4 linked regions of the Arabidopsis thaliana genome follow. The protein of the gene in region 2 purifies or fractionates together with the protein of the main gene of each other region. This does not show direct contact. Each region holds a gene or a part of one and is shown on either strand. Other genes may lie near its edges. The genes, in order: AT1G60080, AT5G38840, RRP4 and RRP45a.

Region 1 (7,371 bases), on a different chromosome or scaffold from region 2:
GTGATGATCAATGCTTACGATTTTGGTCAATTTATGTTAGCAATTTAATTCTTTTTCATCCATATTTTCATCTCGAATTTAATCTTTAAAAAAGCGTTTGTTAGATCACTTAGAAATCCAACTTTGATGCTTTTTAGTATTAACTAGTTCCGTGATGGTCATGTTGCTGATTTGCTATAATTTCATCGTTCTTCTTTTAGTCTACTTATCAGTAATTAAGTGCAAATCTATCATTATTTTTTTGTTTTTGTAAGATTCACTTTCATCAAGATCAGTATTGATGAGGGTGAGATCAGTTTTCTAGGTAAATATTGTTCGGATCAAAGTTCTCATGAATCAGTGAACCAAAGTTTTAGATTCTTCTGGTAAGAATTCTGACTTACCGCAAGAATCTAAAGTGTTGATATGTTTTGTCAAATACAACCAAATGTAAAATTCTTTTATTTGTTTTTTTAATACATTTTGAGTATGGTTTTTAAAACAATGGTCACTAGCTAGAGTGTCCATGATCAATTCGTCTTCGGTCGTTGGATTTGCTAAGATGTAGTTCTTGAACATGATGTATGCAAGTTAAAGAGAAAGAGATGTTCTTAATCTTCAGTTTTCTTCTCTTTGTACGATGCTTCCTTTTCGGTGATCGATGCATTGACTTGTTCCTTTTGTCCAGAGATGACAACTACTATAATGGTTTGAAAAACTTAGGGTTGAAAAATTAGGGTTAAAAAAAAAAACTAGTGGATCGACGCCAATGGATAGAGTAGAGGAAGAGGCGGAAGATAGGGAAGTAAGTATACAATCTAAAGAAGATGAGAGTTTTTGTAAGTTTCTCGAGATGATTCCTCTTGATCTAATTCCTGATATACTCTTGAGACTTCCTGCTAAATCTGCTGCGAGGTTCCACTGGGTCTCTTAGCTATGGTCATCAATCACCACTCATCCAGATTTCATCAGGTCGTTCGCGAGTCAGTCTTCAACTAGGTTGTGTCTTTTGGTCTGCGTGAAAACAAGTGACAAGCGTATTTTCTGCGCAATGCCCCAACATGAAAATCCGGACAGATCATGTTATCCACATGTGGAGCGTTATCTGAAAGACACTCTCATATTTGATTATCACGAATGGTCCCAGTCGGTCCATGGCTTGATATGTTTGGGAGATTCTTGGGGCATATTGTAGTTTGGAATCCAATCATGAGACAACATGTTACCTTACCAAAAGTCGCATTTGAATGTAGCTCTTTAGGATATGATCCGGTCGAGGGTAAGTATAAAGTCTTGTGCATCTCATGCTCTAGATACCAAGATCCTCTTGTTTTTACTTTGGGACCTCAAGAATCATGGAGAGTGACACAAAATACCCCTAAACATGTCCCTCTATCCGCCGAGGGACTAATACAAAGTATATGTATCAACGGGGAAGTGTATTATGAAGCGAGTATACCTTTTGGAGTCGATGATAGTTCTGAAGTTGAGAAAGTCCTTATGAGCTTCGATGTGAGGTACGAAAAGTTCAACACAATAAGAAAATCAGCGGCTGATAATTTACTTTGCAAATTTTTCCTCAACTACGAAGGAAAATTTGCATGGGTTTGCTCTGACGACGTCTCTGGTAAATGATTTTGGGTTTTGGAGGATGAAGAGAAACAAGAACGGTCACTTAGAAAATTTCCTCAACGTGACCCGATCTGGAAAGTTTCTTGGGGGCTGAGAGGTATTACTCATGATCCACTGGTGAGTTTATTTATACAGCTGCAACAACATCTGAAGCAATTTATGTCTTATATTATGATCCAAAAAGAACCCTAGTAAGGAGGGTCAAATATGATTATATGAAGGAATTGGTGACGAAGAATTCTGGAAGCTTAATCATAAAAATGTAAGAGAGGTCCGCTATTATCATAATCACACTGAGAGTCTCATGTCTTTGGAGGAAGTTCCTCGCTTAGCATATGATTCTTCCACAGATTCAGAATGATTTTATGTTATTTAGTATTTAATTAGTCTCTCGAGGACTTTCCTCGTCTAGTATGGAATATTTCTTTCACAGATTCAGAATGGTTCTTGTTACAATGCCTCTTTTAAATGGAATAATATTTTAACATACCCTTACATTATAACATAAAAAAATTCAGAAAAGCCTAATCAAAAACAAACTTGCGATGGTGGTCAACAAACAAACTTGTTAATTGCTTTTGATTTGAACATTTGTAAAATTAATCAGCTTACGCACATTTCGGTTCGTTTGAAATGGAGATAATATAATCTCACACTTACACTAGCACTAAATTAAAGTCGTTATATGACAAACAAAACCGTAACACAATCGAACAAAAATGGTGAAGAGCTTCTTCCTTTGCCTCTAAATGGGTAACTTGGTGATCTGATTAAAATATGTAACACAAAATTTCAACAATGTTATGGAATCGTTCCATCTGATAAATTAGTCGATATCCATCTCTCCCAATATCTGCTTAAGCTCCTTTGCTCTCTTCCTTGCTAACTCGACACAGCTCTGCGCATAGCAACTTTATAAGAAACAAAAAACGGTGTAAATCAAGTGGTGGATTAACCTAAGAGAAAGCTAAAACTCTCACCTTGATGGCTGATGAATAGGCGAGAGCAGCTCCTCCTGATTTGTAGAAAGAAACCATTTGATCCGAGGAATCCAAAACAACAGTCACAAGAGTGTCCATGATCGATTCTTCTTCGGTTGTTGGATCTGCTAAGATGTAGTTCTTGTGAAGTATGCAAGTTAAAGAGAAAGGAATGTTCTTAAGCGTAAGTTTTCTCTTCTCCTTGTTCACTGCTTCTTTCTCGGTGATCAAAGCATTGTCTTGATCTTTTTCTCCAGTGACGGCAACTATTCTTCCATTGTCATTCAGAGCAACAATTGGAATTTGCACTGCAATATAAAAGATATTTTATGCATCAGAGGAAAAATTCTTCTGTCTCGGAACACCAATCACACAACTTCTGAACAAACCGCTATTGTGCAGGGAAGAATATTACTCAGGTATGACTCACTCAGCAAGATTTAAGTGTTCTCTAAGGCTTGCTCTTTTTACTCATATTCGAAATGGATTTGATAAACTTGAGAATCAGCTTTATTCAAAGGTTCTCTAAAGGAGCTGTGAAACCAACTAAAGGATGAGAACAGAGAAGAACTTACGATTGGAGAAGGCTGCGACAGCAGCAAGCAGAGCAGCATCAAAGAGAGCACCATCAGCATCCAGGCAATATATGTCCTATGAGAAATTTCAGAGAGCAACAATGTTCATATATATGCTAGAGAACTCAGTTAAATATCAAAGAGAAAGATCCCTAGAAGAATAGATGTGAATCAACTGACGGACAAGCACCGATATAAGACCAACGAGTACTCACCAGATAACCCATCCAAGCAGCTTTTCCACTAACTAGACACAGTTCTTTAAGATCAATCATACCAGAACTAGAACAAAAAAGAAACACTTTTAGAAGGAACATTGTATTTGATGCTCAATGAGACAGAGAAAATATAAAGAGAAAGATCAAACCAAAACACACCTTAAAATAGTATCAGACAAACGCTTTGAAATAACGGGAGCAGCTTCGGCTGGTCTTCCAGGACGAACAGTCGGAGAACAAATTGGAGGCATATGGAACTCAATAGCTACCAAAAAGGAATCACAAAATGAATCACCAAAGAAGAACAACAAACCACATAGAGAACAAGACAACGAGATAACAACCTATGCATCCTTCGTCTGGAGAGTCCGTAGAAGGAGTCATAACTTCCATTCTAATAGCAGCAAGCATAGTCTATAAACACGAAACAACTATGTAAGCAAAACATTGCTGATCATGTGAATACTATCGAAACGACTAAGGCGGGTTCTTACAGTGGAACCAATCTTAGCAAGAGCAGACCCATCAGCAGTTGAAACAAGTCCTACAACAAACACAAGAAACCACTATAAAGTTGACATTTTTAATTTGATAAAAACTAAAAAGAATCAATCTTCATTGTTTATACCAAGATTAACAATGGTGTCTCTAGCTTTTCCAAGTTGTCTTCCATCAGGACGAAGAGATTCAGAGAGATGACGCTCAAAGAAACGAAGAGGGAAGATTCTTCTAAAAGCATCAACTTCCATCTCTGTCGACAAGTCTTGAGCTGCATCTGGTATTCCCATGTTTTCTTTAGCTCTGCTTCATGTCACAAAGATAAAGAGAATCATAAACCAAAAGTCTCTGAGTCTGTGCTTCATCAACACAGTCTCAAGGAATCACAAAGCTTACCTTGGGACAAAAGAAAGAACTGCCTTTGGTACACGAAACTGTTGTAGTGAAGAGGAAACACAAGCAATAGAGTGTAAGAAGAAGATTGAGAGCTCGCGGTGTCGTAAGTAATGGGGATTTCGACGGAGACGGTGACGGTGACGACGGCTAGGTTTATCTGAGTTTTTAACTAAAGTACTTCTTCATTCTAAATGGGCCCCAAACAAAGCCCAATAATGTTGCGAAGCCCAAAGAAATGCGAAATAAGAGATTTGTTTGCTTCACAAGACATGAGTATATTGAAATTTGGGTTTTCAATTAGATGAATTTGGCGAAAATATGAGGCGCACTTGATTATGAGCTGAATTTGGGAAAATGTTTAGTGTAAATTGTAAAATATGAAGAAGAAGAAATGGCGTCAAAATGAACATTATACATTCTTGTTTTATATCCAATTTTGTTAATCCTCCATACATTACTTAATGGTGTTTAATTATAAGTTAAGAAATTTCTCTTTTACTATATATATCGTTATAAGTATTCGTAGAAAATTTCAATTCAAAACATCGTTATAAGTATTCGTATATTGAAATTTGCAACAATCAACAGAAAAACTTATCGTTATTCCGTTTTTTTCACATCTATTTTAAAATTTTAAGATAATGTATGTTTAATATTTTATGCTTTGTAATAATTATTAAGTTTTATGAAATAAAATATTTTTTTCTTTATAAGAGGACCAAATATTTTTACTTTAATACCTCAAAAGTTATTATATCATAGTCCATACTATTAACAAAAATTTAGGAATACCCAAAAAAAATTGAAATGTAACAAAAAGTCCAAAAATATTTTTTTGGCCCAAAAGCCCTCATATATGTGGGGCTGGGGCTGCATAGCCGCATGGTTTTCCGGTCCCCTAGTTTCTTTCGTTATTTGGGTTGGTCAGACCTGGGCTCCGATCCAGCGTAATCTGTTTCTTATCATAGTAAATAAAGACCATAATTCATTTCAACACACTTCCCAATATGTTTCTTATCTAAATTGCATCATCATTAATGTCTACGTCACAACTATATCTAGCGGGTACGCAAATGGCTACTGGACTTACTTATTCTAACATGGAACGAAGAAAAGAGTGTGTGTGTGTGTGAGAAATGGAACAGATTTTGGCTCTGTTTGCCATTTTTCTTGCTTTTGCTTTCTCCGGGAAATGCAGCGACGTTTTCAGCAGATCTGACTACCCTGAGGGATTCGTCTTTGGAGCCGGCACTTCTGCTTATCAGGTTTGGAACCAATTTATGAGCTTCTTTTTTCTTAACTTTTGAACAAAACTGAACCAAATGTTTGGTCTCTACTAGTGGGAAGGAGCTGCTGCAGAAGACGGAAGGAAACCTAGCCTGTGGGACACTCTTTGTCACTCTCGTAAGCTTTTCATTTTAACACAAACTATTATTAGTATTAGAGTTTGTCACTCTTGTGCTTTGATTCTTGTTTCTAACATTGCAGGTGACCAAGGTAACGGAGATATAGCATGTGATGGGTATCACAAGTACAAGGTTCTTTAGCTTCTCTGTTTCTCTGACTACATCATGAGGTTTTATTCATCAAGCCTGAGTTTCATTATGAATTTATACAGGATGATGTGAAGTTGATGGTGGACACTAACTTAGATGCTTTCAGATTCTCCATCTCTTGGTCTAGGCTAATACCTAGTAAGTTTTCTTAAACATGTTATAGCTCAGTGAAGGGATCAAATTTATGATCAGTTCGTAATTTATTATCTGATTAGATGGAAGAGGGCCTGTTAACCAAAAGGGTCTACAGTTCTACAAGAACCTCATCCAAGAGTTAGTAAGCCACGGTAAGACCTATCTTCATATCCACGGTAGGACTCAAGAGTTAGGTTTAGTTCGTATTAACTAGAGTTTAAGTAGACTTACTACAGGAATTGAACCACATGTTACACTCTACCACTATGATCATCCTCAGTCTCTGGAGGATGAATATGGAGGATGGCTCAACCACAGAATGATGTAGGCGTTACTTATTTTCTCTTACAGATTTTGTAGTTTAAGATAAAATAACAAAAGTTGATGTTATTTGCCATTGCAGCAAAGACTTTACTACTTATGCAGATGTTTGCTTCAGAGAGTTTGGGAACCATGTCAAACTATGGACCACGATCAACGAGGCTAATATATTCTCTATAGGAGGTTACAACGATGGGGATACACCGCCTGGTCGTTGTTCCAAACCGAGCAAAAACTGTTCTTCAGGGAACTCTTCCATTGAACCATATATTGTAGGCCATAATTTGTTGCTTGCGCACGCCTCTGTTTCAAGACGATACAAACAAAAATACAAGGTATATATTACATAACCCTCTCTTGAATGTGTGAGAAGAAACACACTATAAAGTATATATAATATGCAGGATAAGCAGGGAGGTTCCATAGGATTTAGCTTATTCATATTAGGGCTTATTCCTACTACAAGCTCCAAGGATGATGCCACTGCAACCCAAAGAGCCCAAGATTTCTACGTCGGCTGGTGAGTCAGGCACAAACTGTTCCAAAATATTGTTCAACATATCTCAATAAAAAAGATTTACTCTTTAAAACTCAGGTTCCTTAGACCTCTTTTATTTGGAGACTATCCTGATACAATGAAAAGAACCATTGGATCAAGACTGCCAGTTTTCTCTGAGAAAGAATCAGAACAAGTTAAAGGCTCATGTGACTTTGTAGGAGTCATACACTATCATGCGGCTTCTGTCACTAACATCAAATCCAAACCTTCTCTGTCCGGAAACCCGGATTTCTACTCATACATGGGTGTATCTTTTCATTGTATGAATCAAACTCAATCTTTTAAATAACAAAACAAGATTTTTTCTCTTTTATGATATCTTGTTTTTGCTAATCATCTCTTCTTCTTTCTTTCTTGGGAGAGACAGATTTTGGAAAAAGTTTAGATTTTCAGGTAGGAGTTTTGAGGCTAAGATTTCTTTAGTCTTGATAGAGAATAGTGTTACTAAGTTGTTTTGTTTTTGTTTAAACAAGTATGCTAATACTCCATGGGCTATGGAAGTTGTGCTGGAGTATATAAAGC
Region 2 (8,592 bases):
TCTTTTAAAAGCTCTCTCGCTTAAAAAAACTTCGCCGATTCTGGATATATCAAATGATATCCCTGACACAATTCTAGCATCCTGAAAAAATATTACAAAGGTAAGAAATCGTGAGCACAATATGTAAGATCTGTGAATCTTCACAATATGATTAAGTTTAGAACGTGGAATACTTACTGTATCATTTTCAAGGACATTGCATATCTCGTCAGCATCTATTAAGATGTGGCGTTTCCAAGGTTCTTGTCTTTGAATGGCTTGTCTACCCACATGTTGTAGTAAGTTATGCATCACTATTTTCTCATTCCTAGATATATGTATTAGAGATTTATTGGCGAGGGTTCTTAACCCATACTCGACATCTAGGTTACTGTCAAGGAGCATGGCCATCACAAGCTGACGGTCTTTATAGTTGAAGAAGACTGCAATGCTGAGAAATAAAGCTTGCTCGTTCTCATGTAAGCTATCATACCCAACTCTAAGTTGTGCCTCGTTATCTCGATCAAGACTAATTTCTAGTCTGCGAATTAAAATTTCCCACTCATCCTCAGTTTTCCCGTGTAAAGATGAACCTATGACACAGAGACCCAATGGAAGATTACCACAAAGCTCTGTTACTCGTTCTGCAAGCTTTAGAATCGTATCAGGTGCAGAGCTTTGTCTAAAAGCACATCTGCAAAAGATCTCAAGAGCTTCTTTTCTAGATGGAAAATCCACATGGTAGACATTGTTAATATCATGTTTCTGCAAAAGCTCGTTGTCTTCTGTTGTCACGATAATCCTACTTCCAGGACCAAACCACGTTGTCTGATCAGCCAAAGCATACAAATCGAGATCATTAACATCATCTAGAATGATAAGCACTTTTTGGTCATGTAACCTATCTCTTATTGTGCCTAAATGCTCTATCCTCATACCCTTTTGGTTCATAATCTTTGAAAGAAGTCGTTCTTGTAAATCTAACTTCAGACCATACTCGTCAAGCCCAATATTAAGACTTCCCCTAACATTCTCCATAAAACAACTTCGCTGAAAATTGCTAGAGAGTAGGCTTTGTAAAGCACGAGCAATGGTAGTCTTACCGATTCCTGCAGGGCCACAGATTCCTACTATCCTCACTTGCTCATAGTCTAGGTATAGCAGAGAACTTAATTCCCTAATGTGAAACTCAAGTCCCACAAATGCATCAAAATCTTTAGAAGGTGTAGCATTCAGTTTATCTGAAACATCTTTGGCTATCTTTTCAATCATATCCGCTTCATTTTCCCTAACAAGAGAGGAAACAAAATATCAGATAGGCGTTATAAAGTGATGTGTAACTTAAAAGAAAGCCCCAAAATTAGTCGATCGAAAACAAACAAACCATTTCAGCGAGTGTTCTCCAGCTATGTTGCCAACAAAAATTAAAGCTTGGATCCATCTCTGCCTCTCCTCCTTAGTTTTACTTTTACAACTATTTTTGAAGGCCTTCCCAAAATCTCCGGTCTGTTTCCGTACATCGGATGGATCTACTTCATAGAAGATCGGCATCACTACGTCTTTGCATTTCAAAATCTCCACCAATTCATTCAAGCACCAACTCGAAGAAGCATAGTTCTTTGAAAGAACCACAATCGATATCCTAGATTCTCTAATCGCTTGTATGAGAGCAGGGGCTATGGTTTGGCTCCTCTCGATTCCTTGATCATCAAACATTGTAATCCCATTTGAGTTGAACTGCTTACGTAAATGAGAGAGAAAAGTCTTACGAATATCTCCTCCATGGAAGCTCGGGAAGACGTTGTATCTCCAAGTTCGAGCAGAAGCCATAGGAGACGGTCGTGAGAGATTGCGTTTGGATAAGCTCTATGAATGGATCAAATGATAAGGCTTATTCATTTTGACTTTTCGGAGAGAAAGAGAGAGACAGACGTAAGTATTGTTAATTGCCGCACCCTAATATAAAATAAATTATGAGATAAATCACAAGTAAAATTTCCGTTCAAAAAAAAATATATCAATCAGGAAAGCTCAGGGTTTAGAGTATGAATTTACAAAGTACTGTGTGACCAAGAAATCACCAGACTGAGTGATGCAAAACTTGACAGATATTTAAGCCACTTCTACCTCTCCTCAATCCTATAGTTTGCTCTGGAAACTCTATCGCTGATCAATATCCCAGACGGTCATTTAGAGATGTTCGCCCATCACCAGATTGTCCTGCACATTTCAAGTCAATACATTACTCATTAGCCACTTTCTAAAACGGGATTTGATTCAATGTGTTTCTAAACATGGCGTTACTTTACCTGCAGGAGGTACCCAAGAATCATAATCTATGGTTTCATCCAGATATTCTGGTTTATCAGGACCAACTACTTTTTTAGCCGTCTTCTTCTTCTTCTTCGTTTTACTTTGGCCACTTCCTTGATTATTTTCTTCCTGTTTACTGAGTTCTTTGTCTTCTTCGTTTACATGATGGCCTACAGAATGTTTCAATAAGAGAGCAACTGCATCCTGTGCCATGACCTCTGCTTGCTTTTCCTTTGAATCATCATCTTCTTCGCTCTTGTCTTCTTGCTTACGTTTTCTTATTATCAACCCTGTTACAACTTCAACTCCAGCGGTGGCTGTTAGAGCAATATTCTTCCTATTTTTATAGTCGACAAACCCATCAGCATCCTCTGTGCTATCAGTAGTAGCAGCTACTATCTCAGGGTTTTTTTCTTCAATTATGGCTTTATTTGCAGCGGAACCGAGCCATTGGGGTTTTGATGGAACATACACAGTGGTCTTCTTTTCTTCAGCTGTTTCACTTGCTTTATTTTCTACTTCAGGCTTATTTTCTGAGTCCACTAAATCTTTGGCCACTTCTTTCTCCTTATGCTCATTAGGATCAGCTTGTTTTAAAGGTATATTGATCTTCTTTTCTACGGAAGGTGTTTCAGATTTCTTTATTTTTAATTCTTGTGACTTCAACTCCCTTTTCTTAACCTCTTCTCCGGTTGGGTCAGCAATCTTTAGAAGGTATAAGATCCTACTTAATTCTGACTGTAGAGTAGACAACTCTTGCTGGATCTGGGCGGTTTTATCTTGCACTGACAACAATAAGAGGAAAATTTCTTGACATCAGTAAGAAGTTTTTCCTAGAAGTGAACTACAGCGCAGATATAAATTTTTACGACACAACAAAAAAAAAAAAAAGTAAATTACCAAGTGTTGTAGAAAGCCCGGTCATGTATGCATCAAGGGCATCAAGGGAGTCTCCCGATGTAACCTCTGTGACATTCTCTGTCTCCATCTTACTCTTCTCTGTTAAAAGCTGTTCATTCTTTGCTTCTATTTCTTTCAAGACATTGTCTCTCTTATCTACAAGTGAATCAACAGTTTCTACAGTTTGGTTTTCGCTGCCTTTCTTTGTTGATGGTTTCTTCTGGGTCCGGTCATAGAAGTCATCTTCATCACTGAAAATAACATAATTTTCCTTATGAGAATCAGAAACAACAGACACAAGCTATAGTTTTGCATGAAGATGTAGATATAGAGGTTGAACACTTGAAGCAGCCTTTAACTGAAACACAGGTAAGAATACTACGAGATCCCTAAGAGAAAAAATAGCTGAGACACGAGAAAGATTACCTCGACAAGTCTTCCTCATCTTCTACAATTCCTTTCTTCTTTCCGTGGGTGGGTTTTCTCCCTGTTTTGGCACCCAAACTTTCCCGGATGCTGTCATTCAGTGTCTCTTCCAAGTTCTCAAGTTCTTCCAGAAGCTATCATAGAGTTAATTGAAATGGAAAGTCTAATCAGATAAAGAGTTTTGCAGCCAAAACTAAGATTGTAGTAAGGACACTTCAGATTAACAAAGTGGTTACCTCAGCCGTTCTCTGCTCATTCCTAGCGATCTGCGTTTGTTGTCCTTGTGTCAATCCACCCTGAGAAATGTCTTTGGCTCGAATAGCTGCTACTTCCTTCTTCATATGGCCGATCTACACAGAAGTAAACATCCCTATAAAGATGAAGCAAAGTGGACGTAGTCTAAAAACATCTACAATGAATAAAGGAAAGTTGGAATAGTCTATAAATTATAATGAGCATCCGAAGGGAGAAAGAAAGACGGAAAAAAAGAAAAATATAGAGACTCAGGTCACTAAGAAGTACCAGCTAAATATATGATTTTGCATCGAAAAAAAATGATTGGGAACAAAAATACTAACCTTCTCCAACCGTTTCAGTACTTTCTCCTTAGTTTTTTCTTGCTTTGGAGTGAGTTCTCCACTATATGTTTGCCAAGTAATTTCCTCAACATCATCCTTCATGTCCAAATTATAGAAAAAAAGGTCGTTCAGAAAGATTGATTACAAAAATCCTGGAAACGTGAGACACTTAGGTCCACAACACTAACAGATAAAGTTGTAATTATTACCTCTTCTTCTTCAATAGCATCTTCCCCCATGCCCCATGAAACACCATCAGCCATGGATGCTTGCTGCCTTGCTCGTCGCAGTGAAGCTTCTCGTTCTGACATTTCCATTCTCATCTTTGCTTCTCTAATTAATTGTAAGTCTTTCTCCTAAAAATCAATACCACAAGTAGATTAAAGGTGCATCAAATAATTAAGGGTAGATGCCAAAAAATTACTCTAGACCAAAAATTAGATTGTGTAAAGTAAAAAGTGTATCTTACTGGTGGCATTAAGTCCGAGGGTCCTTGGAAAATGTATAATCTAGTCGAACTACATAAAAAACAAAAGAAAGAGCTCAGGAAAATCAAAGCAAAAGCTACCAAGATAATCATCATGAGCTTAACAGAGATATACACTCACCCGCCAAAGCGAATAACATCACCGACATTCAAATCCACAAAAACCTTTTTATCCACCTGCAAAAACCATAAAACACAGATAGTAAATTACTATAAGTCAGTTCATCAAAGCTCAATCAAGAGAATAAAAATGTCAAAGCCACAAATAAAGCACCTTATTCTTGTTAACAGTTGTTCCATGCGTGCTTCCAAGATCAAATATATACGCAGCTCCACTCCTCTTGTACTGAATAACTGGCAAGATTCATTACAAAACAATGTAATCCAAATTGAAAGTAATAACACTATGATATGAAGTATGAACAATAAGATAATCAATCACCTGCATGAAACCGAGAAATCGAAGGGTGCTCAAGAGCAAAATCACAGATACCATCACGTCCAAACAAGTAAGCTCCTTTCTTATAGCTGCAAAGGGAACAAATACGAATTACATACACTTTCCTTCCTAATTCAATCAGAAGCCTTAAAGCTTTAGAGGGTAATAGATTCATAAGAGTTTACTTACACGTCTAATTTCTCAACAATGGCGCCTTCTTTGAGAACTTCAAGCTGAAATTGGTGACACGGAGGGCCACTCCACTCTGGAATAGTGTAGGGGACAGGATTCTGCTTCACGGTTCGGGGACGAACTGGTTTATCCGCGTCTACAGTGACGGAATCGTCCTTGGATTCCTCTATTGGCTCGGGCTCTACAACTACTTCCGTTGTCTTCAGATCAGGTGGGTTAGGGTTTCTGGGAGGTGGAGGATTCATCGTTGAGGTTTCATCGCTTTGGGAAATTGATGTACTGTTTGGTTCAGGAGGCTCGATATCATGGCTAGGGTTTCGCGGTGGAGGAGGATCCATCGCCGATGTAGTCATTGGTTGCAGAGAGATTAGAGAATTCAGAAATTTGGCCGAAGAAAGAGATCAGTGAGGCGGCAATTGTAACTCGGATCGGGTACGGGTTTGAATCCGGGTTGTAATTTGGGCCGTTTACTTTATACAGTAGAAAATGCTATAAACTAAACGGTAAATAGATGTACAAACGGCCCGGCCCGTCTATTAGAGCCCAGTTAGGCCCGTACCGTTCGTCCCGAATTTTTCAATTTTTAGGGAGACATAATTGTTATTATGTTCGGATTCAAAGATTAATTCCATAACTAACATGTGTATATATTAATTCTCAAACTTATTGTTGAATTCTTTTTTCTTTTGACATATTTACTTTGAGAAGGTCGATTTATAATTAATTTCTACTATGCAAAGTAACGTGATTTAATAGAATTCAACTTTAGTAGGAAAAACGGATTCAAATGGACTTAACCACTTGATGAAAGACACATCCCCATTTATTGTTGAATTAACAAATTTAAAATTTAAAATACATCAACGCATAATTAATTAGGACGTTAAGTGATTTGATTAGAAACAAAAACAAAACCTAAAGTTCTCAAGTCTTTCCTAAAAAAAAAAAAAAGACGATAACTAGGCAATTATCTCTTTTAACACTAGCATCATAATCATCAGATTCCACTATCTTTCTCTTCACCTTCGGTTTCTACTATTTCGTATTTAACTTGGACTTTCGATTTGGAAGCTTACACATTCTACAATACGCACGCCCTACGAATCTTTGGTACTCAGTTTATAAATTTACACACTATAAAATCGATGAAGACTATGCAAATTTGAACTTTATAGATCTTTATTTTGAGAAAAAATCGCCTAGGATTCAATTGTGTTTCAATTTAGGAAAAAGATTTAGGAATTCTTTGGATTTATTCTATTTGTAATCGAAGTACTTAACGTTCAATTTTATTGTCTAACGTTGAATTTTTTAAGTCTAGTTTTTGTTGATTGGACACCAAATTAGAGAATTAATGTGCACACAAGATAGTTGGAGAATGAATCTCTCAATTGCAAATACTCAAAGAATTATATGAGCTTTTTTCCAACTATCTATTGCTTATTTTTTGGCTACAAAAAATCGTAAGATAACATCTAAATATATGCTATATGTCTTATAATTTCAAAATAATTCATATTGCAAAAATTAAAATCCATTGAGTTCAAGTGTTAGAATCTCGTTAATTTAGTTACAAGTCTTAATATTATGATTTTGTTATATACTTAAACTAAAGATGCTGATCTCTTGTAATAATATTATTATCTTGTTAGTTCAGTGAAGAAATACAATTACAAGACATCTCTTTCAACAGTGAATCTTCATGAAAGAAATTAGCAATCGCCATTATAATTTTGACCAAACTTTTCACACTCTTGATTTATTATTGTAAATTAAAGTTTTTGTTAAACAATAAATTTTATCTCAACAAAAATTAAAAAACAAAAATGTTTGAAAAGGTACATTAAATCCCTCATTATATTACTTTCGGATTTTTATATCTAATTCTTGTTGACTAAGCCAAAAAAGGATAAAAATGATAGTGATAGTAAAGATGAAGTTATATATCAAAGCCTACAACTCCAAAAAAAACAAAGATAATCAAGTTTCTTTGTTTGTTTATTTTTAAGTCGGAGTATTTTTATGTTCTATATCTAAGGTATCATTTGTGTACTTTTTTGCATATAGGCTCACAAGACATGTTAGTTATATAGTCTTAAAGAGAAACAATAAAAGTTCTAAAAATATTGTTTCACATTTAAACCAACAAATAAATTACCAGAAAGATCACGGTCGTCTCTCCTTTTTAGCAGATGTTCCCTTGCATATTGAAAATAATAAAATCTCTTAGGTATTTCAAGGTTTATTTTAGGGGATACAAAAAAGATAATAAACACATATAGATTCATTAGACGTAATATATGATTGGTTATCTTCATACAATATTATTGTTAGCGATCGATTACCAAAGAGAAAGTAATAATTTTTAAATTTTTAAATTTGAATTTTCCATAACTATTATAATATATAATTGGTTATCATAATACTGAATTTTTCAATTTTCCATAATTTTAAAATATATTACTAATAAATAAATAAATAAAATTAATTTTTTATTAAAACAAAAATTACTTATTAAAACCACATCTTAATTTATAACGGAAAACAAATACTTGTGTTGATGAAATTTTTCTGATTTATGTTGATCCACGAACACAAAAGTCATTTGAAGTTTTAAAGTAACAAAATCGTAATTTTGATGGTTTGTGTGAGTTCAAAACCATGAAGGTTGAAAGTGCATGTGGTTGTTACTTTGAAAGTATTTTATGTGATTTTCACAATCTCTTACTAATAAAAAATGTTCATTGAGGCTTGTCAATCTGTACAAATTAGAAAGAAAAAAAAATTACAATGAAAAAAACCAAACATAGATAGATAAAGGTGAAAATTTAATATTATATTTAAGTTTATACTATTAAAATGTTAAGAATACATCACATGACGTTTTTCTATGCATAGTAAAAAACGTAAAAACAAATAAAAAGACTTAGTAAACTATTTCAAAAACATCAATTTTTAACATAAAACCGGATGTAGTCCAGACTAATTCCTAATATTCTAGTAAGAATTGGTAGTTATTTAAACTAGTTAAAAAATTTCTCCTATAGGATAACGTCATGACAATTTCGTTTATAATAAGTAAGAATAAGGTTTCTTTAAAATAATATGTTTACAATTAATATATGTAAGAGATTTGAAATTGAGAGATTAATTCCACAACTATTGTATACACATATTATTAATTTCTAAACATCTAATGCGTTAGCTTAAAAAATCTCAAAACGTACTACGTTTTGTTACATTAAGTTTGTATATTTTTCTATTTGGTTAATTGAACT
Region 3 (6,613 bases), on a different chromosome or scaffold from region 2:
AGATACCAATTTTTCATCAGAGACTAGAGTAAATGATGTACTTCTCATGCCTTGACAAGAAACAGTGCTACCCGAGCATACTTCTTTTCCTGGTGTTGTTCCACTAGACTGAGTTTTTTTGGAGTTCGGTGTATTTGGGAAGTTTCCAAATTTGAGTGGCTCATTCCGATTGCTTTGAGGATCGGATTGGGGAGGCTTTGGGTTATCTGGGTCACTAGATTTTGGAGGATTAGATTCAGCACCAAGAGATTCCGAATCAGATAATTTACTTGAACTCACCAATCCATCGCCTTCAGCTTCAAAGGCTTGCAAGACATTCAAGTCGCACATCAAAAGCCTCCACATAGCTTCAACTGTTGATAGGGACGGCCTGACCTCCTTAATAAGACTTATCATTTCTACCAACGTATAGGAAACAAGCTGTTGTAAATCCTCAAACACATAGTCTCCTGAACCAGCACCTTCGTCTCCAGTCTTGAGAGCACTCAAGGTGTTATTGACAATGTTTGACAAAAGATTATTGCCTCCACAGTACAGCCTACAGCGTGATACAGCTTTCAGAACTTCGTCATCGGTGTAGCCTAAATCAATAAGCTGCTTCATTGTATCAAGGAAGAGCGTGAGCAAATTTGACGACAACAATTCTTCAAGATGACAGGCAAATGGGTCATCCCATTCGACAGATTCAGACACTTCAACTTGCAGCTGATTAGAAACTTCCCCAACCGATCCATTTCCGCTCAAATGGTTCTGAGGTTTCAACGAAGGTAACTCATATGGAGGGAATTCAGTGAGGGAAGAAGCATTTGGTTGAGAAGGATCAGCTAACTTTCTCTTGTTTTTCCTTCCTTTTTCCTGAGGTGACACTGTAAAGGCTTCTACTTTGTCAACATTGAGACCACATCCATTCATCTCTTCTTGCTTTTGAACTATACTCATCACCTTTTTAATCCATTACACATGAACGACTTAAGTTAAACACACACAAAAAAGCGTAGAACATAGATACGAAATTGTTTCATATGCAAAAACCATTAAAGTATCAAAGATGTTAGACCAAAATCATCTAAATTATCTGTATACATGCAAAAGAGAGATGATTTCATCTCCTAGTTGTAGCTTTCAGAAACGTGATTCAATCGCCTAACTAATGCAATCCCAGAAATACGCCAAAAAAAAAAAGTAAACTTTTTGCCTAGTAAATGTACAGAGATTCCTCAAATCTAAAGCGTACTACTTTCTGATTAAGTGCTTAATCGCAATGCAATTCAGAACCGTTACTGAATCGAAATTAATTAAAAACCCCAAATAATCGCACGATCATTCAACCCACAAACAATCACGAATACACCAAAATGGATTTAAAAAAGGCCGTAAACTGACCTTCAACGAAGACAATAGCGACTTTAAGGAGAACGGCGCCGGAACAAAAATAGCGGGAAATAAGATCGGTAGCGACAAACAGAGAGTGAGAAATCGAAGAAGAAGAATATTGTTTTGGGAGTGTGGAGCGAGCGAGAGAAATTGGCCGTAGAACACTGTTTCGTGAATGAGAGAAGAGGTTTGGTAATCGCTGTTATTACTTGGATTCTCATGAGGGTATTTTAGTCATTTCCCAATTATCCCTTCTCCGAGCTAAAAAGGGCAGCGAATCTTTTCTATGTTGTTTCTGCAACTGTAGATCCTTTCACAAAACGAATTTCAGCTACAAAAGTCGAAACCGATAAATTCATGAATGAAAGAAGAAAGCCGTCTCCAAAAGACATAACTCGACTAATCTAATCTGATGTACAGTTAATAGTATCAAACACATCCATCATACTACATATCTCAATCAGATTAAAATTCGAACTTTCAATAGAAGCTGAGTAACAAACAAGACCGAATGATCTAATACACGTTACAAGTCTCTGATACATCAGTGACAAAAAGGGGTAGTTTTCACTTTTTCCTCTTTGTACGTCTTCTTTCAGCTTCATTCTCTGCTACCACAACGTGAAACTCTGATCCAAGCATATCATGTATGTCAATATTCTTTGAGTTACTGAGGTTAACAGTCTCCATGATTACTTCTAGTGTCACGGTGAAGCCTAGATTAGACAAGACACGTATCGCATTCCCGATTCTGCATATGGTTTGTCGAGTCTCGAGTGGAATATGGCTTTGCTCTTTTCCTGTGGAGGAGGATGAGATCATTTCCTCATCTTTCTGATCATCTATTGCCATAGGATCTCTCACTTCGACATGTTCTCCAACCCATATGAAACCATTGCAGCCAATAATCAAATCAATCCCAAGACTTTCTACGTAATGAAAGTGATGTTTGCTTCTCTTAACCAAGTAAGGATCGACCTTCAGAAGTTGTCCCTTCTCGAGCTGTAGCGATTCATGGATTAATCAATGTTCAGAGGAAGAGACTAGCGAAAGGTATAACTACATGAGCATGTGACCAAATGAGAACCAACCTTGCCATACTTCTGACTTCTGGCTTGTAACTGCAAGCTACCATCATGCTGAAAGTTGCGTACTTCAGCCTAAGAGTTTGAACAAACCAAAGAGGGAACCCTTTTAGTCAGGTTGACGTAACTGTTAAGATATGTAAAGATTGGAACATTACTAATCACAGGACTTACACATACGACATCATGCTCTACAAAGATATTCCGCATATTGAGTTCATCCACAGAGGTTCTTCGCCTCTGGCAACAACAATAAACTTATATCATTGAAGCCAAAAGCAATCATCCAAATGGCAAAATATCAAGAATCAAACTGTACCTGAATACCATCAGGCATGTTCATGGAAGAAAGCATCAGTACTCCATCCTGATTGAAGTTGAGCTCCACTCTCCAACGTTTTTGAGCAACCTGAATAAGTAAAGATCAATCCAGTAACTGTGCAATGTGATTGAAACCTTTATGTTACTCACTCAATCCGATTTCAAAAATCCAAACACCAAAACAAAAATCTACCTCAATGACACGGCCTACCACAATATCCCCAACTTCAGGCTTGTACCTAAAACGTAGATCATCAAAACCATCAGTTCTACTTAATCTCAGAGTAGAGAGTCCATTCTATTCACATTTTCTGGGAAACTAAACAAATTCAAAGATCAATCACAGACCTGGCTCGCAAGGTGCGTACATAGACAAGCTTATCCACACGCTCCACTACTCCACAGACCGTCGCGAGCAACTCACCATCGACCTCGGAAGTTCCATGTCCCCTTTAATGAAAAAACCAATCGTGAAAACGCAATTTGACAAAAATTTCAATCCAGAAGGGAGAATGAGATGAAATTACTTGAGGAAGGCATCGTCATGGTTGACGGGAATAGAGTCGGTGACGATAACAGAAGCGTCAGAGTTAGCCGACGACGACAGTGATTGAAGCCGCTCGATTGCTCTCTCAAACCTAACCTTCTGCGTCTGGCTCAACGGTAACTGTAGCTTTCTCATCACCATCACAGACACTCTCTCTCTTTCTCTCTATTTAGCTCCAGCAACACAACAATGGCGATGCAAAACGAGTTTGGGACTTGGGAGAGAAGAAGAGCAAAAACCTTGACGTTAGTTCCCTTGAATGAATTCTAGGGTTTTGTGTTATTTGTTGGACTAACATATCCAACTTCTGGCCCATTTATAAAACTTCTGGCCCATTAATCTGATAATTGACGCCAAATAAAGTATTATTTATCTTCATTAAAAAAATGGGAAAAAAATTAGACGTCTCTGCAGCGACAAGCTTCAAGTCTTTTGTGATCTTCCTATTTCTGACGCTAATTCGAATCCTTCACTCTTCAAATTGATTCTTTCACGGATCAAACAAATTATCTGAGAGTACCGATTGGTAAGATCTGAGCTTTACGCTATGAATTTCTTCAAATCCGTCTTCACGGAAGACCTAGATCCTCCAGAAACCGAATCCGAATCCGATTCACCGAAACACAGCGAAGAGCATGAACATCCAGAGCAAGAACATCCAGAGCAATCTGAATCTAACGACGACGGTGGATGGAGCTTCGGTGGTCTGATGAAAACTCTAGCCACCAGATCCGAATCCGTGATTGAAACCTACCGACGAGATCTCGAAGAATTTGGCACAGGTTTGAAGAAAGAGATCGAGGTGGCTCAGGGATCGCTTGGTACGGTGGGACATGCGATTGATGAGCTTGGGAACACGGTGCTAAAAGGTACGGCTGAGATTATTGCTCAAGGTAAGGAAGCGATTTTAGCCGCTGGTAATGAATCTGATTCTTCTGATAACAATAGTAGTCAGAGTTTTGGTCGTCGTGATAGCTTCAGTTCGAAACCATATAGTCGTTTCGATGCTCAGATTCGTGCTGTTCAAGGAGATCTCAACACTTACTGTGAAGAGCCTGAGGATTCAGATGATTACAAAAAGTGGGAATCTGCGTTTTCTCTGGATGGAAAAGCTGAGGAGATGGAGAAATTGTTGGAGGAAAATGGTGATATGAAAGGAGTGTATAAAAGGGTCGTTCCGAGTATGGTTGATCACGAGACCTTCTGGTTTAGGTATTTCTATAGGGTTAACAAGCTCAAGCAAGCTGAGGATTTAAGGGCTAATCTTGTGAAACGAGCCATCTCTCTGGATGATGAAGAAGAATTGAGCTGGGATATTGATGATGAAGAGGAGAGCAGCGAGAAAGTTGTTGAAGCTACCAAAGATGTTTCAAGGTTGAAACTTGAAGGGAATGATGGTATGGGTGGTGGAGATGTGAGTGAAACTGTGAAAGATGAAGTGGAAAGTACATATTCAGTGGCTAAAGTGAGCACGCAAGATGAAGTGACAAGTGCAGATTCAGTGACTGAAGTGAGCAATGTTGGTTTGAAGACAGATAAAGATTCTGAGGAAAAGAAGGAGACTGATAGTGAGGAAGTTCCAGAAGAAAAATCATTTGTTGATGCTGCTCCTCCTGCGTCTGATGAGGCTCCAATCCAAGATTCTGTCAAACCAACATCTGATGAGGCTCCAATCCAAGATTCTGTCAAACCAAAATCTGATGAGGCTGCTCCATCCCAAGACTCAGCTAAACCAGATGTGGCTGCTTCTTCATCAACTCAACAACCATCTGAAGAGGATTTGGGATGGGACGAGATCGAGGATATGAGTAGCATAGATGGTAAGGAAACGAGTCGGTCTGGTGGTAGTCCAAACAGAGCTGAGCTGCGTAAACGTCTGAGTGCTGCAGAGGAAGATGAAGATTTAAGTTGGGACATTGATGAAGATGACGAAGAAGAATCATCATCATCCAAAGCTTAATGTTAGTTTTAAAGTGGTGTGCTTTCTTACTTTTGCCAATCCTTTTACTTGTTTTTACAAGTTTCTGGCGCTTTGCCCCCATTCTTCAGTTGTTTTTCTCTTCAACGTTTCTATTTTACATTGATTTGAAAATATGTTTTTAAATTTTACTTGAGAAGGTGGTTTGAGGAAAGTTTGAATATATTCATCTTGCGATAGTCATTCTCTCCAGTTATTTTGAGTATATCAATCAACTGACCCCTGCGAATTCGGAGCTTTAATTGTGTCAAAATTAATCTCAATTTCTGTCCTTTGTGAAGAACCAAAAAAGTTAAATATTACAAATTGTAAAACTTTTAAAATTAAAACTTCTTAAAACGTTTTAATATTTATAATTTTAAAACTCTTATGAAGTTTTATATAATATATATATTTAAAAATATATTAATACGGGACGATATAATACAATATATTTAAAACTTTTTTGAAGTTTCAAATATTATATAGATTTGAACTTTATAAGAAAATGACAAAATGATGTTTAATTTCACAGAACTAGGATATATGGTGAGACGGTTTGGATCAATATTAATACGGAATGATATACTATGGTAAAATTCTAAAATTAAACAAAATTTACAATATTAATACAAAAAATAACTTAAAATTTCAGAAATTTAGTTATATAAATCATTTCGAGATGTATCATACATAAAAAAAAGCAATAGCATATATCTATAAATCATCTTTAAAACAAAAAAATAAAAATTTTTGAGAAAAATATAGGCTCGTTGTGTACTTCTTAATATGTTTATCATTTATAAATACTATTAACTAAAATAAAATCTTTAACTTGTTAACAAAAATATAAATACGTTGTGTACCCGGATGAATATCTAGTTATTAACAAAACTGTACCATTTGTTTTGTAGAATTTTACTTATTATTTTATTTTTTGGACCAAACCAACTTATTATTTATTGGCATGTCTAGTTAGGGAAAATGTTTCAATTGAACATGTACCGTATGTGTGCATGTATAAATAGAAATTTTATGATTGGATTTTAATAATGCAACGAATCGATGTGAAACTATTAGTGTAAAACCACAATCGACGTCCTTTGAGAATTTACTGGTAAGAAGAACACAGAAAAGGATAGAAAAGGATCTGGATGGATCCAAGAGAAACCCTCGCGTGAGTAATTAACCCTCACTTAAACCCCAATCACCATTTCAAGGCGAGAAAGCAAGTTGTTTCTTGAGTAATCCAAGTTGTTTCTATTTTGCGATTTTAACGGGTCAAAGATTTGCTCTAAGGGAAGGAGGTAGAACAGTTGGAGCCGGTGT
Region 4 (6,706 bases), on a different chromosome or scaffold from region 2:
CAACTTAGCCAAGAGAGAAACGAGAGGAGACTCGCGGAATACCAGTTGACACATTCGGCTTCTCCACTAGTATGTAACTCCTTAATTCATCACTGATTTTTGTTTTGTAATCTGTGTCAGTTCTCCACTAGTATGTAACTCCTTAATTCATCACTGATTTTTGTTTTGTAATCTGTGTCAGTTTATAACTATGTCTTAGTTATGCAGAATTCTTCTTCTTCCCTAAGATATTTGAATCAGTCAGATTCTGAATTACATCAATCAGCAGAAGACAGTCCATCTCAAGACCAAATAGTCCATTACCAAGAATCTTCATCTGAATCATCTCCAGCAGAGTCAACTGTTGAGGTATTAACTGATATTCTTCTTTATTTTGTACCCTGAGGCCTTAGGATGGTTTGTTTAAACGAAGAGATACAGTTTACATGAAAGAAGAAATGTATCTGACATTTTTGTATACCAAACCAGCAAACACTGGACCCAAGTAATGACTTTCTTGAAAAGAGGCTAATGAGAAAGACAAATGCGAGGAAGCTACCTCGAGGAATGCCACCTAAGTACCTGTGGGATCAACCTAATCTATTATCTGAAGAAATGGTGAGATGTATGAAGAATATCTTCATGTCTCTTGCTGATCCAACAGCAACTTCAAAAGCTTCCTCAAACGAAAGCCACCTCTCACCAGTATCACCTCGCGGGCATCTATCAAGCTCAGCATCCTGGTGGCCTTCAACAGAACGGTCAATGATCTCCTCATGGGTGCAAAGCCCACAAATAGATATCCAAAATAACGCCAATGTTTTGGCCACAGGAGATGTCTTTGATCCTTATAGAGTTCGTGGGAAGTTAAGCTGGGCGGAGATTGGGAACTACAGTTTGGCATCCGAGGTTTCTTGGATGTCTGTAGGGAAGAAACAGCTGGAGTATGCTTCCGGGGCATTGAAGAAGTTCAGGTAATAGAGTTTCCTTTTTTGTGTGTTTCAATCCGATTGAACAGTAAGACTCAGTTTACATAACCATGGTTGATTCTGTGAACAGGACACTGGTTGAGCAATTGGCTAGAGTAAATCCTATTCATTTAAGCTGCAACGAGAAGCTTGCTTTCTGGATTAACCTTTATAACGCGTTGATAATGCATGTAAGTTCCTTTTTCCCCTATACTTATCAAGAACTATTCTGAATGAAACGAAAGCTTATGAGAGTTATGGTTGTTTATGTGAACAAAGGCTTATTTGGCTTATGGCGTCCCAAAAAGCGACCTGAAGCTTTTCTCGTTGATGCAAAAGGTTATATCACTTGACAGAAGGTTGTGTTTTGTTCTTCTCATTTCTTTGTTGCCTTATTTGATTCCTTTTGTACTGGATCCACAGGCAGCCTATACAGTTGGAGGGCACTCATATACTGCGGCGACAATGGAATATGTGATACTGAAGATGAAACCGCCTATGCACAGGCCACAAATTGTATGAGCTTTGAACCCAGCTTCTTCTGTGAGGCTCTTCTTTTCTCCTCTTTCAGAGTCAGTTAAACAATTTGCTCTGTTTGCTGATGCAGGCTTTGCTTCTTGCCATCCACAAGATGAAAGTATCAGAAGAACAGCGCAGGGCAAGCATTGATACACATGAACCTCTTCTCGGCTTTGCTCTAAGCTGTGGAATGTACTCTTCACCTGCGGTAACTTAACTAAGTAACAATCTGCGTTTCCAAAAGTCATAAACAGTCATTTTCTTAACACGAAGAGGTCTTGCAGGTGAGGATCTACTCTGCGAAAGGAGTGAAGGAAGAGATGCTAGAAGCACAAAGGGACTTCATACAAGCATCGGTAGGGCTGAGCAGCAAAGGGAAGCTCTTACTACCCAAAATGCTCCATTGTTATGCCAAGAGTTTGGTGGAGGATTCGAACTTGGGGGTCTGGATATCAAGGTACCTTCCTCCACATCAAGCTGCTTTTGTGGAGCAATGCATCTCTCAGAGAAGACAAAGCCTTCTCGCTTCACGGAACTGCGGAATACTCCCCTTCGATTCTCGTTTCAGATACCTGTTTCTCCCCGACGACAACACCTCGTTGTAATAACAGTTCAAAGACTCTCTTCTGTTGTAAAAAAAGCTTTAACCGACCTCATAAGAACGAACAGTGAGAGGAGGCTGTTTCATGATCATGGTTACTACTATTATTCCAACATAGCTTTTGGCTTATAGTGTACATGTTATTCAGGATATGCATATTAATTCTGAGAAGTCTCAATATGTTGTGTTTCAACTTTCTTTCAGAAAGACATAAATGGAAGAGTTGAGACTAGTCATCTATTTAAGTGCGAGAAGTCTCAACATGTCTTGATCATATCGACGTTTTTATAGCTTAGTGTTGCTGATAAGATTTCTACAACTAAAATCTTTATTTACAATCGACGACCACAGCAAATGTTTTATTTATGTCTCTTCCTACACAACTACAATAGGTCCCAAAACTTCAGACTTAGCCAAAGTATGATGCCGCTTCACCTTCTGTGAGCTCCTCTCACGGTTGTATGCTTCAACCTACACCATGAAAACAAAGCACAACAAAATCAAATCCTTAAATCAATAGAAATCAATCTAAAAAGGAAAACGCTCCGGATTACGAAACCCTACTGCATCTCTAATTATCTTTGTTGTTGCAGAAGCTCTTGAAGAAGCAAGACGCAGGCAATGAAGGATTACACTCTGGTTCACGCCTTCTTCTCCTGGTTTTTGGATTGCGCATATATCGCCATTGGCATTGACTGTCACAGTCATTCTCCCACACATAACAGCTTCTTCAACGTAAGTTGGGTCCATCACCTGCATAAGAACACAACACACTTGTAATCTCAGATGCAAACAAAAACGTAGTAAACAAGATTATCAATAAACAAAACACAATTTTTTTACCAAGATACTGCCTTTATTAAAAAATCCAAACGTGAAGGCTATTGGGAGATGATGTATTATCAAAGGAAGTGGTTCCCTTTCCTGTAAAAGAAACCAAATATAGTACAAAACAGTTGAAGTTGAGAACTTCCTTCTCTCTAGTTATTAAGTTCATCAACTAAACTGAAAAAAAAAAAATATGAATTACTAACTTCGGGTGGATGTATGATCACGTCTTGACTGTTGTCCCCTCCTACAGTGCAATCAGGTCTCCTGAAAGTCATGAGTGCGGCTAAGGCAGCAACATTAGCAGCATCAACCAAGTTCCTGTAAGAGAGTGAGTAACAATATACACATAAAAGATCATTCTCACAACAAGAACCTTGGATAAACATGAAGAAGACCTACCCTCCATTGTCCAAAATGTGAAGATCAATGCGAACAGACCAAACCAGCTTTCCGGCTAGAACACAAAGCGACTCTGTATCTACTGCACGGCTTTCTCTGCAACCAACAACACAAAGACCATCAATACAAAAAACTTTGTTTGTAGCATCAAATCAAAAAGAGAGGTTTACCGTAGAGCACGGTCTATAATACGGCCAAGCTCAACAGCAGATTCACCAGGATGCCCTGGCTCAAACGATGGATCAGCCATTGGAGAAAACTCGGTGAAGATAGAGAAGGAGCCTTCACTAGGTCTGTCTTTGTAAGGTTGTACTAGCTGAGCAGTCACAAAAGCCATTACATGAGTCTGACCCAGTTGAACTTGTGAGCTGCCATATTCCCTATCGAAAACTCACACAGATTAAATTAATCATCAGTAACAACATTGCAAAACCAGAGATCAAAAGCATCAACAAAAATTGAAGCTTTAAAGGTAAACATAATCAATGAATAGGAGAAAAACTCACTTGCCAAACTTAATAGTAAGCTTGCGGTAATCATAAAGGCCACGACCATCGACTCTGAGCTCAGATTGCAACGCAGATTCAACGAATTTGCTCTCATTCACAGTCAACCTCCACATATTATTCAACCTCCCCTCCATTGTTTGCTAGTGAGCTACTACCACAAATTGATGATTGAGAAACAAAACAAGATACAAAAAATCAAAACTTTCAGAATATAAAAAAGCCTAGAGAATCAACATAAGCAGCTTTCCCCAGAGGGAGATTAAACCACTAACCTTCTTCCGTTCAGCTAGGGTTTTGTGGCGCGAGGATTTTGTGAACAGAGAAGAGGAGGGATTTATTTCAATTTAACCCCTCGTCTTTTCAGTATTTGTCTTATGGACCAATTTTCATTTATCTCTTTTTTTTTCCTTTTAATAATATTTGTTTGATGGAGGGACCGTGTCTAGTCCTTCTCTTATCAAACGACTGACCAGCTCTTATCATTGGCCCCGTTACCCTAACGGTCACAAGGGTTTTCGTCTGTTTGATACACCCAGTCTTGTCTATCTTGACTATTCTGGTTATCCCGCAGAAGATTATGAGGTTGATTTGGGTTCCCTTGTAGAAGCTACACTCATGGGAGCGTCTTCCAGATGACTATTAATTATTATGTGGATGGTGATACAGAGGATATTGTTGGTTATGTTACGAATCTGGTTGCAGGGATAAGCAATGTTAAAACCCTTCACTTGTCCGCTGTTTCTCTTGAGGTCAGTCTCTGCTACGTCTTCTTCTTCTATTGGTTGATTCTATTTGAAGTGCATGCTAGCTAGCAAAGTCTCATTTTGTGTATATGTTTGTTTTGGTTGTGACAATAGATCCCAGGTATTTTACTCGTGCTGTAAATCAATCCCGGTGTTTCCCAACCTCGTTACTTTATCTTTTGAGTGTAACAAAGAAAGAGGCTGGTAAGTGGAGCCACTTCTCCTTAACTACTCTCCAAATCTAGAAACTTAAGTCATCAAGGTATCATCTATTTCGTTCGATCACCACGCACTTCTGTTTCTTTGCTAAAGTTATTATTCCCATGAATTTGCTTATGCCTTGTTCTTTTTGCTTTCACGGTCTTGTGCATGAAGTTACAGACAAACGTGGTGACGCCTGCGTTTGCACCCCTAAGAGGGATAAGAGGAAGAGCTGAAACGAATGAGGCATTTCTTGGCAAATTTAAAACGTCTTGAAACTGTCAATGTTAATGTCGAATTGAGTGAAGGCAAGGATGTTAAGAAAAGGTTCCTGACGATCACCAATGCTCTTATGAAGCTTCCCAGAGTTTCATCAAACTGTCTGATCCATTTCACCATGGAATGTCTAGTAGGTGAATTCTACTACTTTAGTTTGGCAGTGTATTTTTTGTTAATTTCATTGGCTTTCGCCGTACTAAGATCATTTCTATATACATTATAATGGGTTCGTTGCCTAATGACTCCAAAATGCTTCGGGGTCTTGGTTTCGTTCAACTGGATAAACTCTAGTATTCTAGTTGAATATAAAGTAAAAACTTGCATTTCCAGTCTAGTATATGTAATGATTGAAAATCAAGAATTTATTAGCTTATAGCTTTGCCAAAAATACCACATATACAATACGAAGGAATCAAAGAGTAAGTAAATTAAGATCAAATTCAGTAGTCGAATTCAATAGGATTCAATGAACAGAATCACCAAAAATTGAATCAAAATCACAATTCCCTTATACACATGTCTATACTTTAGAATACATGTAAGAAAAAATATCTATGTACCTCGTTGTGAACCTAAATTAGCAGTTGTGGAAGAGACCCATCTGCTCATTTTCCCATGAGCTCTCCTAAACTAGCTTCTTGAATCTCCAAATTAATCAGCCAAAAATATCTCATTCTTTCTTGATTCGCCTGCCATTTGGATCGTTACTTCAGGCACGAACCCTTGACCCCATAGACAGAGAATATAACATGTCTGTTAATCATTCAGGAGTGGAGGCCGTTGTATCAGCGGCTCTCTGCCGCACCATCTCCATCACCGCTGCTCTGCGTCTTGAATCTGCCTGTTGCTGCTTTCTACTAAAATGAGCTCTCAACTCTCTGCAAAAAATAAACTTGTCAGATCATTATTAAACACATCACCTTCTTGAACAAATCTATTCTGATAATTGAAAATTTGCTTTATAAGTAGTTAGATTACATACCTGCATTTGGGGACTTTGCATTGGGGATCTCTGCAGTTTCGGGAGTGCAATCGGAAGAGGGACCACATTTTCTTACAAGCGATGCAACCTCTGGTCTTGCAGACAAGACCATGCCTAATGAGACCCTTAATCACGCGACACCTTGGATACTGGCACTGTGCAGTGCAGCATGTCATTACGTGTAGCAGCACCTCTCTTAACTGCAGTACCAACAAGCCAAACCGTAGTTAGCAATAAGGAAAAGAGAAGCCAAGAGATGCAAACTCAATTTTCTAACCGACACTTATCTAGCTACACAATATTTGAAAGGAATTTTGGTAAAAATCCTAAAAGGAGTTGAGCCTATCTATCTTTCCAGCTTTGACAAGTGAATAATTATGTATGCATATGGACATCAATTCTATGATCAAAGCTAAAAAATTGAAAGAAAAGGAATACCTGGGCATTCTGAATTTGATTAGTTTGTGTGTTCTGTACAACAGAATCTGTCGCAGATGGACGGCTAATGATGCTATGTGGATGGTTGATGCCTTTTGAGTAGCAAGCATTGCAAACATCATAGTCAGGGCAAACTTCGCAACGCCAACCTTGAGCAGTTTCAAGTTCTTGCTGGCAGATGGCGCATGCCATTGCAAATGCAGGGACGGTTGGGTTGTGAAGATGATAGAGAATCATCATGGAAGAATGTTTTGCCC

Evidence for each region.
Region 1: the proteins of AT5G38840 (region 2) and AT1G60080 fractionate together in Arabidopsis thaliana (co-fractionation; one large-scale study listed by BioGRID). This does not show direct contact.
Region 3: the proteins of AT5G38840 (region 2) and RRP4 fractionate together in Arabidopsis thaliana (co-fractionation; one large-scale study listed by BioGRID). This does not show direct contact.
Region 4: the proteins of AT5G38840 (region 2) and RRP45a fractionate together in Arabidopsis thaliana (co-fractionation; one large-scale study listed by BioGRID). This does not show direct contact.

The regions. Positions count from the first base shown.
Region 1 is NC_003070.9:22,150,168-22,157,538, forward strand, and holds AT1G60080 (3'-5'-exoribonuclease family protein), read right to left. Parts: upstream 4,477-7,371; 5' UTR 4,279-4,476; intron 4,186-4,278; 5' UTR 4,173-4,185; coding exon 4,013-4,172; intron 3,929-4,012; coding exon 3,879-3,928; intron 3,799-3,878; coding exon 3,729-3,798; intron 3,650-3,728; coding exon 3,544-3,649; intron 3,449-3,543; coding exon 3,382-3,448; intron 3,243-3,381; coding exon 3,167-3,242; intron 2,900-3,166; coding exon 2,592-2,899; intron 2,510-2,591; coding exon 2,438-2,509; 3' UTR 2,063-2,437; downstream 1-2,062. Other genes in the region: BGLU4 (beta glucosidase 4), read left to right, coding at 5,415-5,543, 5,619-5,682, 5,767-5,816, 5,897-5,972, 6,050-6,121, 6,206-6,293, 6,373-6,625, 6,695-6,810 and 3 more.
Region 2 is NC_003076.8:15,548,404-15,556,995, reverse strand, and holds AT5G38840 (SMAD/FHA domain-containing protein), read right to left. Parts: upstream 5,754-8,592; 5' UTR 5,668-5,753; coding exon 5,312-5,667; intron 5,212-5,311; coding exon 5,126-5,211; intron 5,038-5,125; coding exon 4,958-5,037; intron 4,861-4,957; coding exon 4,805-4,860; intron 4,715-4,804; coding exon 4,666-4,714; intron 4,553-4,665; coding exon 4,406-4,552; intron 4,293-4,405; coding exon 4,197-4,292; intron 3,969-4,196; coding exon 3,855-3,968; intron 3,753-3,854; coding exon 3,619-3,752; intron 3,444-3,618; coding exon 3,193-3,443; intron 3,078-3,192; coding exon 2,289-3,077; intron 2,200-2,288; coding exon 2,150-2,199; 3' UTR 1,919-2,149; downstream 1-1,918. Other genes in the region: AT5G38850 (Disease resistance protein (TIR-NBS-LRR class)), read right to left, coding at 1-81, 178-1,267, 1,364-1,809.
Region 3 is NC_003070.9:821,508-828,120, reverse strand, and holds RRP4 (ribosomal RNA processing 4), read right to left. Parts: upstream 3,605-6,613; 5' UTR 3,469-3,604; coding exon 3,308-3,468; intron 3,231-3,307; coding exon 3,129-3,230; intron 3,020-3,128; coding exon 2,974-3,019; intron 2,869-2,973; coding exon 2,779-2,868; intron 2,700-2,778; coding exon 2,634-2,699; intron 2,535-2,633; coding exon 2,466-2,534; intron 2,377-2,465; coding exon 1,942-2,376; 3' UTR 1,722-1,941; downstream 1-1,721. Other genes in the region: AT1G03365 (RING/U-box superfamily protein), read right to left, coding at 1-939; AT1G03350 (BSD domain-containing protein), read left to right, coding at 3,875-5,287. UniProt on the Arabidopsis thaliana protein: Non-catalytic component of the RNA exosome complex which has 3'->5' exoribonuclease activity and participates in a multitude of cellular RNA processing, maturation and degradation events.
Region 4 is NC_003074.8:4,153,579-4,160,284, reverse strand, and holds RRP45a (ribonuclease PH45A), read right to left. Parts: upstream 4,232-6,706; 5' UTR 4,079-4,231; exon of another isoform or gene 3,955-4,078; 5' UTR 3,941-3,954; coding exon 3,804-3,940; intron 3,678-3,803; coding exon 3,468-3,677; intron 3,394-3,467; coding exon 3,298-3,393; intron 3,217-3,297; coding exon 3,102-3,216; intron 2,992-3,101; coding exon 2,911-2,991; coding exon of another isoform or gene 2,884-2,910; exon of another isoform or gene 2,821-2,883; coding exon 2,632-2,820; coding exon of another isoform or gene 2,596-2,631; exon of another isoform or gene 2,539-2,595; coding exon 2,443-2,538; 3' UTR 2,321-2,442; downstream 1-2,320. Other genes in the region: AT3G13000 (ubiquinone biosynthesis protein (Protein of unknown function, DUF547)), read left to right, coding at 1-69, 208-348, 469-953, 1,039-1,138, 1,227-1,286, 1,371-1,463, 1,555-1,674, 1,751-2,071; HAC5 (histone acetyltransferase of the CBP family 5), read right to left, coding at 5,790-5,907, 6,012-6,211, 6,450-6,706. UniProt on the Arabidopsis thaliana protein: Probable 3'->5' exoribonuclease involved in the regulation of cuticular wax biosynthesis. Can perform exosomal functions and partially complement the yeast rrp45 null mutant.